4 linked regions of the Saccharomyces cerevisiae S288C genome follow. Changing the gene in region 4 together with the main gene of any one other region gives a genetic interaction. Each region holds a gene or a part of one and is shown on either strand. Other genes may lie near its edges.

The links.
Region 1: mutations in BTS1 (region 4) and ERG8 together harm fitness more than expected from each alone (negative genetic interaction), as found in Saccharomyces cerevisiae (3 studies listed by BioGRID).
Region 2: mutations in BTS1 (region 4) and ERG12 together harm fitness more than expected from each alone (negative genetic interaction), as found in Saccharomyces cerevisiae (3 studies listed by BioGRID).
Region 3: mutations in BTS1 (region 4) and CYB5 together harm fitness less than expected from each alone (positive genetic interaction), as found in Saccharomyces cerevisiae (3 studies listed by BioGRID).

What each region holds. Positions count from the first base shown.
Region 1 is NC_001145.3:710,337-714,235, forward strand, and holds ERG8 (phosphomevalonate kinase), read left to right. Parts: upstream 1-1,979; coding exon 1,980-3,335; downstream 3,336-3,899. Other genes in the region: ESC1 (Esc1p), read left to right, coding at 1-1,773; FMP42 (Fmp42p), read right to left, coding at 3,595-3,899.
Region 2 is NC_001145.3:682,721-686,347, forward strand, and holds ERG12 (mevalonate kinase), read left to right. Parts: upstream 1-1,746; coding exon 1,747-3,078; downstream 3,079-3,627. Other genes in the region: acetyl-CoA carboxylase HFA1, read right to left, coding at 1-844; YMR209C (uncharacterized protein), read right to left, coding at 3,191-3,627. UniProt on the Saccharomyces cerevisiae protein: Mevalonate kinase; part of the second module of ergosterol biosynthesis pathway that includes the middle steps of the pathway. ERG12 converts mevalonate into 5-phosphomevalonate.
Region 3 is NC_001146.8:416,366-419,215, reverse strand, and holds CYB5 (Cyb5p), read left to right. Parts: upstream 1-1,913; coding exon 1,914-2,276; downstream 2,277-2,850. Other genes in the region: YNL108C (uncharacterized protein), read left to right, coding at 1-202; rRNA-binding ribosome biosynthesis protein NOP15, read left to right, coding at 728-1,390. UniProt on the Saccharomyces cerevisiae protein: Membrane bound hemoprotein which function as an electron carrier for several membrane bound oxygenases.
Region 4 is NC_001148.4:422,311-425,710, forward strand, and holds BTS1 (farnesyltranstransferase), read right to left. Parts: upstream 1,583-3,400; coding exon 575-1,582; downstream 1-574. Other genes in the region: guanine nucleotide exchange factor MUK1, read left to right, coding at 1-476; YPL068C (uncharacterized protein), read right to left, coding at 1,905-2,786; HTC1 (Htc1p), read right to left, coding at 2,941-3,400. UniProt on the Saccharomyces cerevisiae protein: Catalyzes the trans-addition of the 3 molecules of IPP onto DMAPP to form geranylgeranyl pyrophosphate. Required for the membrane attachment of YPT1 and SEC4. May be involved in vesicle trafficking and protein sorting.

The sequences.
Region 1 (3,899 bases), on a different chromosome or scaffold from region 4:
GAAAGAAGAGCAACTACCATTGAAAACACAAAAGCCCTGGAAAATAATACCAATATGCATGATCAGGTTAGCCAAGCTTGCTCTGATTCAGACCGAGACCAAGACTCCACAGCTGAAAAAAATGTTGAGGGATCTGCAAAACATAATTTGGACATTCGGGTGTCCAGTTCGGAAATTGAGTCTGTGGAACCATTGAAGCCAGAATCTGATCGATCAAATATTTTTTCATCCCCAATTCGTGTTATTGGAGCTGTAGTTAAGGGAGTGGGTAAGGTAGTCGACGTAGCTGAATCATTCGTGAAAAAAATTGATGTTATGGATTCTGAGAGTGATGATAACGTTGATATTGGTGATTATAATCAAGACATTTTTAACAAGTCGAATTCTACCGATGCATCTGTTAATATGAAAAGTGTAAGTAGCAAAGAGAGAGACAGCGATGAAGATGAAGCTGTCATACTCGGAGGAGTTACCGCAGAAGCACATAATGACAATGGTAATAATTCTCGTGTGATAAACATCGATCCCACGACAAACGGTGCTTATGAAGAGGACTCCGAAGTGTTTCGACAGCAAGTAAAGGACAAGGAAAATTTGCATAAGTCGGAAGAGCCGCTAGTTGAAGGTTTACAATCCGAGCAACATTTCGAAAAGAAAGACCACAGCGAGAATGAAGAAGAATTTGATACCATATATGGAGATATAACATCAGCAAATATTCACAGTAATGCCCCCGATGATATTAAGAGACAACAACTCCTAAAGAATCTAAGTGACCTAGAGAATTATTCTCAGAGGCTCATTGAAGATTCCAGGAGAGGAAAAAATCAAGAAGAATCAGACGAAGTTAATACAAGCCGTGAACGGGATCTCACGTTTGAAAAGTCCGTTAATGAGAAATATGCTGGAGCAATTGAAGAAGACACTTTTTCGGAGTTAGATATTAGCATTCAACACCCCGAACATGAAGAAGACCTGGACCTATCAAACAATCAGGAGAGGTCAATAGAAGAACTAAATTCAGAGCCAGAAGAAGCTGAGTTGTACGAATTGGAAATAGAGGGCCCTACAGAGACAGCAGCTTCTAGTAAAATGAATGATGATGAAAGGCAACGCGGAAATATACCGTCCACAGATCTTCCATCTGATCCTCCGTCTGATAAGGAAGAAGTGACAGATTCTTATCCCTATTCAAATTCGGAAAATATTACCGCTGAAAAGAGTGCGCCAACATCACCGGAAGTGTATGAAATATTCTCAGACACGCCAAATGAAGTCCCTATGGAAATTAATGATGAAATTCCCGCCACCACGCTTGAGAAACACGATAAAACCAATGTAACATCCGTTTTGGATGATAGATCAGAACATTTATCTAGCCACGATGTTGATAATGAGCCACACGATAATTCCATTAACATCAAAGTAAATGAAGGTGAGGAGCCCGAACATCAAGCAGTGGATATACCTGTTAAAGTAGAAGTTAAAGAAGAACAGGAGGAAATGCCTTCAAAATCTGTACTTGAAGAACAGAAACCAAGTATGGAACTAATCAATGATAAAAGTTCTCCAGAAAATAATAATGATGAGGAAACAAACCGCGAAAAGGACAAAACTAAAGCAAAAAAGAAAAGCCGTAAAAGAAACTACAACAGCAGAAGACGGAAAAGAAAAATCACAGAAGGCAGTTCTGCCGCATCAAATACTAAAAGGCGTAGGGGGCACGAGCCAAAAAGCCGTGGACAGAATACGCATCCAAGTGTTGACAAATAATCAAATTGTATACAGGAATATGTAGATAGTAATAATTATTGCGATGCGTTTTTCTATACGAGATCTAAAAGGAAAAAAGTTCGGTTTTAAGGCGGAGTTAACGTCATGTCGAATGGAAAGAAAGATTATATAAAGAATGGAAAAACAAAAAAGGTGAAAAAACATCTTGGAAGGCCTCATAATAAATCAATCGGCTGCCTCGAGAAATGTCAGAGTTGAGAGCCTTCAGTGCCCCAGGGAAAGCGTTACTAGCTGGTGGATATTTAGTTTTAGATACAAAATATGAAGCATTTGTAGTCGGATTATCGGCAAGAATGCATGCTGTAGCCCATCCTTACGGTTCATTGCAAGGGTCTGATAAGTTTGAAGTGCGTGTGAAAAGTAAACAATTTAAAGATGGGGAGTGGCTGTACCATATAAGTCCTAAAAGTGGCTTCATTCCTGTTTCGATAGGCGGATCTAAGAACCCTTTCATTGAAAAAGTTATCGCTAACGTATTTAGCTACTTTAAACCTAACATGGACGACTACTGCAATAGAAACTTGTTCGTTATTGATATTTTCTCTGATGATGCCTACCATTCTCAGGAGGATAGCGTTACCGAACATCGTGGCAACAGAAGATTGAGTTTTCATTCGCACAGAATTGAAGAAGTTCCCAAAACAGGGCTGGGCTCCTCGGCAGGTTTAGTCACAGTTTTAACTACAGCTTTGGCCTCCTTTTTTGTATCGGACCTGGAAAATAATGTAGACAAATATAGAGAAGTTATTCATAATTTAGCACAAGTTGCTCATTGTCAAGCTCAGGGTAAAATTGGAAGCGGGTTTGATGTAGCGGCGGCAGCATATGGATCTATCAGATATAGAAGATTCCCACCCGCATTAATCTCTAATTTGCCAGATATTGGAAGTGCTACTTACGGCAGTAAACTGGCGCATTTGGTTGATGAAGAAGACTGGAATATTACGATTAAAAGTAACCATTTACCTTCGGGATTAACTTTATGGATGGGCGATATTAAGAATGGTTCAGAAACAGTAAAACTGGTCCAGAAGGTAAAAAATTGGTATGATTCGCATATGCCAGAAAGCTTGAAAATATATACAGAACTCGATCATGCAAATTCTAGATTTATGGATGGACTATCTAAACTAGATCGCTTACACGAGACTCATGACGATTACAGCGATCAGATATTTGAGTCTCTTGAGAGGAATGACTGTACCTGTCAAAAGTATCCTGAAATCACAGAAGTTAGAGATGCAGTTGCCACAATTAGACGTTCCTTTAGAAAAATAACTAAAGAATCTGGTGCCGATATCGAACCTCCCGTACAAACTAGCTTATTGGATGATTGCCAGACCTTAAAAGGAGTTCTTACTTGCTTAATACCTGGTGCTGGTGGTTATGACGCCATTGCAGTGATTACTAAGCAAGATGTTGATCTTAGGGCTCAAACCGCTAATGACAAAAGATTTTCTAAGGTTCAATGGCTGGATGTAACTCAGGCTGACTGGGGTGTTAGGAAAGAAAAAGATCCGGAAACTTATCTTGATAAATAACTTAAGGTAGATAATAGTGGTCCATGTGACATCTTTATAAATGTGAAGTTTGAAGTGACAGCGCTTAACATCTAACCATTCATCTTCCGATAGTACTTGAAATTGTTCCTTTCGGCGGCATGATAAAATTCTTTTAATGGGTACAAGCTATACATACTAGGATGAGGATGGTACTGAGAACGATAAATAAACTTTCTAGATATATAACTTTATGTCATTTAAATATAAATAAAGTGCGTGTTAGCTTGAAAGTGTGCACTCAGATAGTTTGGTAGTTGGAGGACAATCCTCTTTCATTCACGGGCTTGGGCAAAATCTGAGATCGTATGTAAAATGTTAAAGTTAGTGAAAAAACGACTGTGAGGATTACCAGTGTAAGGTTTATTGGGAATGGATTCATGTTGAAAGTAGTATGTGTCCATTTGTCCAGTAAGTTTTGACTCATGTTGAAAATACCACAAATGCAGGACAATAACCCATAAACAGTACCAAATGTGTCAAATCCAAAAACTTTTGAAGAATAATCAGAAACAACTGTGTAATAAAATGGTCTGTACACTACCA
Region 2 (3,627 bases), on a different chromosome or scaffold from region 4:
CCAATTCACCTAGACGAATTGCTGCGCGTTCCATCCTTTGAAACGTTTCAGGCTTGGTTATTGTCACTGGTGCCTCTTCTATAATCTTTTGGTGCCGCCTTTGTATGGAACAGTCTCTCCCAAACAATGTAATGTTAGTGCCATATTGGTCAGCTAATAACTGTACCTCTAAGTGACGAGCATCAGTGACAACTTTCATAACAAACATAGGCGACCCAGGTGTCTCATTCACTGCTTGGCGATATAATGCAATAAAATCATCCTCATTATCTACTCGCCTAATGCCCTTACCTCCACCACCTTCGGATGCCTTAATCATTACAGGAAATCCTATTAATTTAGCCTTTTCTAAAGCATCTTCAGGTGAGGAACAACATCCCCTTACATATACATCATCCGGCACAGATACAAAGTTCGTCTTGTTATCGATATGGATAGTGTCTATATGTGAACCAGACCAAGGGATACACGGGATTTTAGCGCTTTGTGCTACAATAGTGGAAGAAATCTTGTCACCCAATGATCTCATAGCGCGTCCAGGAGGACCAATGAATAGTATTTTCCTTTGTGAACTAGCTAACAGCTCAGGAAGACACGGATTTTCAGAAGCATGGCCCCATCCAGCCCAGACCGCATCCACATCCGTTTGCTCTGCCACGTCCAGTATTAAGTCTATGTTGGCGTAATTGTTGTTGTTGGTACCCCCTGGTACCTGCACATATTGGTCTGCCATTCTAATATACTCCGAATTTGCGTGTAAATCATCAGGTGTCGCCATTACCACGAATTGAATGATTTTTTCATCATTGAACGTCTCGTACGCCCATTTTCTTATAGATCTCATTTCTTTCACCGCAGCAATACCATTGTTTGCTATTAAGATCTTTGAAATAACAGTATGTCCACCACGTAAATCAACAAAATCTCTTAATATTGAAGGTTGGGCACTTTCCACAGTATTTAGCCCTATGAACTGGGGCGGTAATCGAGTATGTTTATGAATATTGCCTCGATCCACATAATTGGAATACCTTCTTCTAGATGGAAAATTCAAACCTATTCGAGATGAATGCCTATACGAATGGGCAAAAATGCGTTTTCTGTATTCAGGGCGCTGTCCTTTCAACCGTACTATCTGGCTGCCCGTTATATTATAGAATCGATAAGGATCCAAATATAACGCGAGCTTGTACTGTCCTATTCGAATGCAAGTAATTGTGAATATGGTAATGTAAAAGTGAGAATGTATCCGGCGAGCCCCCCAGCTTTGGCCGTGTGTAATTGTCTTCCCTTTCTACCCAAGATGACTTCTTCTTTATCATTCTTCATTATTCATCTTTTCTTGTCATCTGCCGCCCACCCATTTTAGTTACCCTAACGGAAACATTGATGAATGATGCTATTATTACTGTCATAAGCAATAAAAAGAGAGGTTCCTACTACTTCTCCCGTGGAAAGCTAGCGATAGCCTTGTACTCTATCTCACTTTCAGAATGCGTACACATTTATGTTTAAAGAGGCGTTTTGTGCTAGTTTTGTCTCAACGTGTATTTTATCGGTTGTAATTGTACTGACAATTTTCGGGCCTCGTTTGGCTGTCGCACTGAAATCTTCGACAGGGTATCGAAGAACGATACAACGATATGCCTATAAAGGTTAGTTAGCCATGATATTACTTCCTGGTTAGCTGGTGCGCTTCTTAGTCCTAACTTGCAAATTTATATCTACGTATAGAAAACTGTCAATATGTCATTACCGTTCTTAACTTCTGCACCGGGAAAGGTTATTATTTTTGGTGAACACTCTGCTGTGTACAACAAGCCTGCCGTCGCTGCTAGTGTGTCTGCGTTGAGAACCTACCTGCTAATAAGCGAGTCATCTGCACCAGATACTATTGAATTGGACTTCCCGGACATTAGCTTTAATCATAAGTGGTCCATCAATGATTTCAATGCCATCACCGAGGATCAAGTAAACTCCCAAAAATTGGCCAAGGCTCAACAAGCCACCGATGGCTTGTCTCAGGAACTCGTTAGTCTTTTGGATCCGTTGTTAGCTCAACTATCCGAATCCTTCCACTACCATGCAGCGTTTTGTTTCCTGTATATGTTTGTTTGCCTATGCCCCCATGCCAAGAATATTAAGTTTTCTTTAAAGTCTACTTTACCCATCGGTGCTGGGTTGGGCTCAAGCGCCTCTATTTCTGTATCACTGGCCTTAGCTATGGCCTACTTGGGGGGGTTAATAGGATCTAATGACTTGGAAAAGCTGTCAGAAAACGATAAGCATATAGTGAATCAATGGGCCTTCATAGGTGAAAAGTGTATTCACGGTACCCCTTCAGGAATAGATAACGCTGTGGCCACTTATGGTAATGCCCTGCTATTTGAAAAAGACTCACATAATGGAACAATAAACACAAACAATTTTAAGTTCTTAGATGATTTCCCAGCCATTCCAATGATCCTAACCTATACTAGAATTCCAAGGTCTACAAAAGATCTTGTTGCTCGCGTTCGTGTGTTGGTCACCGAGAAATTTCCTGAAGTTATGAAGCCAATTCTAGATGCCATGGGTGAATGTGCCCTACAAGGCTTAGAGATCATGACTAAGTTAAGTAAATGTAAAGGCACCGATGACGAGGCTGTAGAAACTAATAATGAACTGTATGAACAACTATTGGAATTGATAAGAATAAATCATGGACTGCTTGTCTCAATCGGTGTTTCTCATCCTGGATTAGAACTTATTAAAAATCTGAGCGATGATTTGAGAATTGGCTCCACAAAACTTACCGGTGCTGGTGGCGGCGGTTGCTCTTTGACTTTGTTACGAAGAGACATTACTCAAGAGCAAATTGACAGCTTCAAAAAGAAATTGCAAGATGATTTTAGTTACGAGACATTTGAAACAGACTTGGGTGGGACTGGCTGCTGTTTGTTAAGCGCAAAAAATTTGAATAAAGATCTTAAAATCAAATCCCTAGTATTCCAATTATTTGAAAATAAAACTACCACAAAGCAACAAATTGACGATCTATTATTGCCAGGAAACACGAATTTACCATGGACTTCATAAGCTAATTTGCGATAGGCATTATTTATTAGTTGTTTTTAATCTTAACTGTGTATGAAGTTTTATGTAATAAAGATAGAAAGAGAAACAAAAAAAAATTTTTCGTAGTATCAATTCAGCTTTCGAAGACAGAATGAAATTTAAGCAGACCATAGTATCCTTGATACATTGACTCATAATCAGTTAAATAGCCATTCAATCCCTTTGAGCTATCAACTTCATATTCCTCCACAAGGTCCTTCCACCCGCGAATTTTACGCAGCCGACTTAATTCATCTCCTGTAAATTGGACCAAGGGTTTGGTGCCATACTTTAATGGACCTACATTGACCCAATGCAGCTCTTTACAGTATTTCTTTAGTGCTTCAATACTGGATAGATATTCAAACATATTTTCCGCGGTATCTATGAAATATGCGCTACAAATGATAATTTTATCATAGTCTTTGGAAATGGGAGAATATCGTGTGAAGTCCCCCCATAGTGGGTCCAGATTACTGCGGTGGCCAACTTTGCTCAAATCTGCCGATAAACTTCTCAACTGATTATCAA
Region 3 (2,850 bases), on a different chromosome or scaffold from region 4:
TAAATTTGAGCTGGTGAAAGGAGAAAATGAAAGTATACCATTTGAAGAGAGAGAGTGGAAACTTACAATGAATGGCAACACCTCCTTTTTAACTAATGGGGAAGAAATGAATTGGACGTTTATGAATGCCTTTGAGGCTGGTTCAGACGCTGATATCAAAGCGAGAAGAGCAGCTGAGAGCGGAAAACTAAAAATGGAGTGAAAACTAAAGTGAGTCTTGAATTCTGTACTTCTCATTATACACTTCTGCATTTGATTTTTATTTCATGATGAAGCTGTGTGAATATATATATATATATACATATGTCAAAGTCTAGTGTAAATTGATAGAATTAACAGTATCTTTTAATATCCCTAAACTTCAAAATTCAAGGTTCAACGATTGAAAGATGAGCTGTCTAGGTAGTAGTACCGAAACCTTTCGAGTTTTGTGCTATCTCTGAAAACTCATTATCCTGCTAAACCCTTTCTAATGTGCATAGCAGCTATTGCAACTTTAGCATCCTCATTACAGACGGCATAGCAGAGACGTATGCGGTTACCCCCCAGATTTTGCCTGTTTCTTTTCACTATGAAAAATTTTCCGCCATAAGAAAAAATGAAGTAGTGCATCGCATCTCATCTCATCACTTAATTTGAAGACGATTACCATTACTTTTAACTTCATTAACTACCTTTTCTATAGGGTTAAGTTCTAGAGATAAAATAACAGAGGAAAGAGATCGATATGGTAAAGTCAACAAGCAAAACTTCCACCAAGGAAACAGTAACCAAACAACCCACCGAAGAAAAACCTATACAGGAGAAAGAAGAGTTGGCTCTAGAAACATCGTCTAGCAGTTCAGATGAAGAAGACGAAAAAGATGAAGATGAAATTGAAGGTTTAGCCGCTTCTGATGATGAGCAGAGCGGTACACACAAGATTAAAAGATTGAATCCTAAGAAGCAGGCTAATGAAAAAAAGTCGAAAGATAAAAAGACACTTGAAGAGTATTCTGGGATTATTTATGTGAGTAGACTGCCACATGGGTTCCACGAAAAGGAATTAAGTAAATATTTTGCTCAATTCGGTGATTTAAAAGAAGTGAGATTAGCACGTAATAAGAAAACTGGAAATTCCAGACATTATGGCTTCTTAGAATTCGTTAATAAAGAGGATGCAATGATCGCCCAAGAATCTATGAACAATTACTTGTTGATGGGTCATCTACTACAAGTGCGTGTATTACCAAAAGGAGCTAAAATCGAGAAATTGTACAAATACAAGAAGAGAGTTCTAGTAGAGAAAGGTATCACCAAACCAGTAAAACAGCTAAAGGATAACATGAAGCAAAAACATGAAGAAAGGATAAAAAAATTAGCCAAGTCAGGTATCGAATTCAAATGGTGACTTGTCACTTCTCATCCACCCTGAGAAAAGGGTTTTGTAAGATAGAATAGGAGATATAGCAAACTTGGGAAACCATTTATATCATTAATTCCAGCAATATAGTTCCGTTTGTCCGTATTCAATGATATTTACATGATTGCTTTTACGAAGATTCAACGACCAAAATCACGGAGCGGGTAATAGCCTGGAGTTTCCGGATGAAAAATTTAACGGCCCAGAAAAAGAACAATAGCTGCAAAAAAGAAAGCTATACGAGATCGAGATAGTGAGAGAGGTTAGCATAACGAGAAAATTTTTGTCGCATTCGTGGCCAAAAAGCGATATTTGAGAAGCATTGTTATTATATCAATAAATAACAAATATATATATTGTCCTTTTTCCAATAACTATATAAAGAACAAGAAGCTTTTGAAACTTTCTCAAAAATTTTCGTTCAGGCTTCCTCGTTAATATTTAAATTCGATTTTCATTTTCTTCATAGTAAAGAAAATCAATCAACTACAACATAAAATATCAAACAATCATGCCTAAAGTTTACAGTTACCAAGAAGTTGCCGAACACAATGGCCCAGAAAATTTCTGGATTATCATCGATGACAAAGTTTACGATGTTTCTCAATTCAAAGATGAACATCCAGGTGGTGATGAAATTATAATGGATTTGGGTGGACAAGATGCTACAGAAAGCTTTGTCGATATCGGTCATTCTGACGAAGCATTGAGACTACTGAAAGGTTTATACATTGGTGACGTTGACAAGACCAGTGAGCGCGTTTCTGTGGAAAAGGTATCTACCTCTGAAAACCAAAGTAAAGGTAGTGGTACATTGGTTGTCATATTGGCCATTTTAATGCTAGGTGTTGCTTATTATTTGTTGAACGAATAATTTTTCTTCCAGAATAGCCCACACTCTTCTCCAAACTCAATTGAATTTTTCGTTTCAGTTTATTAAATTATTTATTTACAAGCAATCAAGGCCAAATTAATGTCTTACAACATTAACTTATGCTACTATATCGCATAGAAGTATGTCACTGTATCATAGAATCTGCCTGGCAGATAGAATTATTATAAATTAATATGTATATACTTATCTTTGTGTATGGCTAAAAATCATCGTCTTAGATAAAAAAAAAAAAGGCAAATAAAGCTCTGCTCTTACTTCAATACGATCAACCTGGTTGTCGTGCATTTCGCTCATTCTAAAATGACCCATAAGCGCTAGTGCACGACTTCTTTGTAAGTCTACTGTTTTTTTGAAAATCATTCGTTTAACATCGGCCCCAGGGTTGTACGAGAACAAAGAAAAGTGTCTGTCCTATTATTTTACGGCACACTAAGCGTTATGCGAAATAACTTCAATCCAGTTGCCACCGTTCACCCAAAAACTTAGGAGTATTAAAGAAAAAGTGTGACGAAGAGCTTTAAAATATTAAAAATGTAGTATACAGCAAATAAAA
Region 4 (3,400 bases):
GTAACCTAGGTGACATCGTGACTCCTACTATCCAAAGGCCAGATGTTACAAGATCGAATTCGTATGATGGCTTCAGGACCGTTTTTGATTCATCATTAAAAAATATCATCGGAAAAATTAGGTCATATACTCCACCACATCCTAACAATACTAGCAATAATAACCTTCACAGTAGCAACAACTTAAACATACCACGAAGTTCGTCTCAATTATCCATGGAATTGAGCAATAGAGATACAACAGAGATGTCTAGGGATGGCTCACGATCAACTTCATCATCTTCACGATCTTCAGCATCTTTAGAGCACGGAAATCGCGAATTTACCGGCGATTTGACAGTAACCGCTAGCATTAACGGTGCTGATAAAAAGGAGTTTCAGAAATCGTGGAAAAAATATAAAGGCTATAAATTTGAAGATTTGACTATTTGCGAACTAAGAGATCTTTTTGAGATATATCAAAAGATGATGCAATGAAACGTATATATGAAATCGTATGTATAGATGCGAAAGAGGAGGAGAGAAGGCTTTATTTCTGACTATCTTCCTCCACTAATTTGATTGATCAATTTATTTCACAATTCGGATAAGTGGTCTATTATATATAACAATTCGTCATGTAAATTGGTGGCGGTGTCGGAATGCGAAGCCAAATCAGGTAAATACTTATTTTCATTATCATTTTTTATCATATTCACTAATTGATTAATAAAATTTTTGGTGTAGGCCAATGAATTGGTGTCGAATTCCAGTATTTGAATCAGCTTTAGTTTTATATCTTTATCACTTGTCCTCAACAGGAGAATTCTTAGAATTTCATTGTGTTGCTCAGTTTGACCTTTCGTTTTAGTGAAGTTAAGGGCGTGGACGATGGGAAAAGATAACTTCCCCTCTGTAATGTCCTCAGCAAAGCCTTTTTCGCTGGACATTTGGAAATCTTTCAAATTCAAGTAATCATCTCTAATCTGATAAATAATACCCAGAAGATTTATGAAAGGAACCAACGAATGGCCGTGGTGTGAGGAAGGAGACAGCGCTTCCATGAGTCTCAACGTTAATCTGAAAAGGCCGCCTGTTTTATTCATAACCATATTCAAATACATCTCCTGAGTAGGTATGATTTCAGGCAGAAAGTCTCTCCAGTATATATCCAAGCCTTGTCCCCTATGTAGATTGATCAATTCTTCGTTGAAAATCGTAATCAAATTATGATACAAAGGCTCTTTTGTGGTTAGCTGCGATACAAGTTGCATGGCTCTGAAATACATATAATTTGCGGTGTTTATAGTGGAGGGTACACCGAAGATTAAGTGAGAAGTGGTCTGTCCCCTTCTCAAGGGAGCATTATCTTCTATATCGTCGATTAAAAGGCTGGAATTATGCAAGAGCTCAACAATTTGCGAAACTATGGCCAGCTGGTCTTTGGGCAAATTCATAACTCTGTTAATTTGAACTATTAAATTTAGTCTAAAGTTCTTGCCAGGTTTCAAAAGGATGTGATTATAAGGTTTTGAAATCAAGCTTTCATTTTGGCTGGACCAAACAGGATCATTATTGATCAGCTCATCTATCTTGGCCTCCATTGATTTTCCAGACTCGTAAACGCTTTGTTCTCTTTCTATTAGTAGCTTCTTTGAAAATGAGCCTTACATGGTTTTGTAAGCACATCTGTCTTGACTTTTTTTTTGCTTCAAAAAAACGTCAAAGAAGGCAAGGCGAAGCAAAGAAAAATGGTAGTAAGCATACAATGATCAGCATAACATATGCAAAAACACGTAATTTCTGCTATGCTGGAAGCGGTGAACGTTGGATACCACTATAATAATAGAAGTTTACCTTTCAGTATGAAAATGCGGGCTTGTCCTATATCTATATGTAATATTATGGAGTGAGTAGAGATGGCGGCTATACATCGTTGTAGAGAGTTATATCTGTATTGTTAATTAAAGATTGGCCAGGCGAAGGTTGGTTCCTTTTTGCTTTAAATCTGCTTTTATGGGGCCATACCAGAGAATTATTTCTTTCTTTCAGTATTGGCTTGTCAAGCTTTTTGATAATGCTATTAAGTGTCAGCGAATTCGCCGTAGTTTGCAACGCTGTGTTGTTTGTATGGCAATTGTTATTATATACTTCCAAATTAATCAAATCTACCAGGTTAATAGAATGCAAATTCGCTATCTCATGGATGATGTCATTGTGGTAGGCAGTGCCGCTGTGACTGGGGTGGCTAAATGGAGGTTTCCTCTCAGCTAGCATTTTTTTCAATTTGTCTGAGTGCGCTTGAGAGGAGGCCTTTAATTTGGAAGTAGTGACTGGTCTTGTCTTCGAGTCACTGTTTAATTGCTCGAATGAATATAATAGGTTTACGATGTTTTGTAGGAGTTTTAGATCATTGGGCAGCCTTAACATTTCGAAATTTTTCAAGCCGGCGAGAGTCGGCTTATGTATATCTTTATAAAATAATCTTTGTTGTCTTTTGATGAGATTGGACAAATTTTTCTGAACTTCCAATACAGAGATCTTTTCGGGATCATCATCAGGTGAAGATAGGCTGGCGCTATTGTGGAATTTAGGGCGCTGCAGAGGCTTAGGTATTATTATATTTGAGGTGCCCAGTGTTGTGGTTGTGGCTCGAATAGCTGGACTAACCATGTTTTGTGCGACTACTTTACGCTTCTTAGGGACAATAATGGATGGTACCGCTGCCGTTGTGGTTGAAGGAGGATCGGACGTCTGATTTCTCCCTGAATAGTCAACCCTTTTTCTTTTCCTGAGTTGCATATGCATATTATATTGTATGTGCTTGTGTAGGTAGAAGCGTCTTTTATTTATCTACTGTCTCATCAGCTCATCGCATCATTAATACCAGTATCGGTTATAGTACATAATTAACAAATGTATGTAGCATTTTGGCATGCTGAAAAAAAAAAAAAAAACTTTATCAGGCAAGTGGCTCGAAACCGTGTGAAAGGATATCATCAACGGTCGTTTTTACCTGTTCCGCGGAATAGCGTTCCCGTGGGAAGAAAAGCAGCACGTGAGCGTGGAAAATCCGGGCAACACTTTGTAGTTCCGGGTAGTTGACAAACCAGGCCACGTGACCCGAGCTTAGAAGTGGACGCAGTAGCGGCTGTGCCTGCAAAAATGCATTCATGCGAGCGCGGGCCGCTTCGCGCACGGCCTTATCTGGGGAATGTACTGGCAGGGCAACCTTGGACCAGAGAACAAGGTGTACAACACCAGGCTCGAAGTTATACGGGAAATCGTTGGCACGCACAGCATATAGAGTAGAAGAACTAAAAGCCTTCGCGGCAGCATTTTCGAGCTGCGGTTCGTCTAGCGACCAGCCTAGTTTTTGCAAAACGTACTGGTTCATGTCCAGGCCAGCAGTCCTTTTCTTA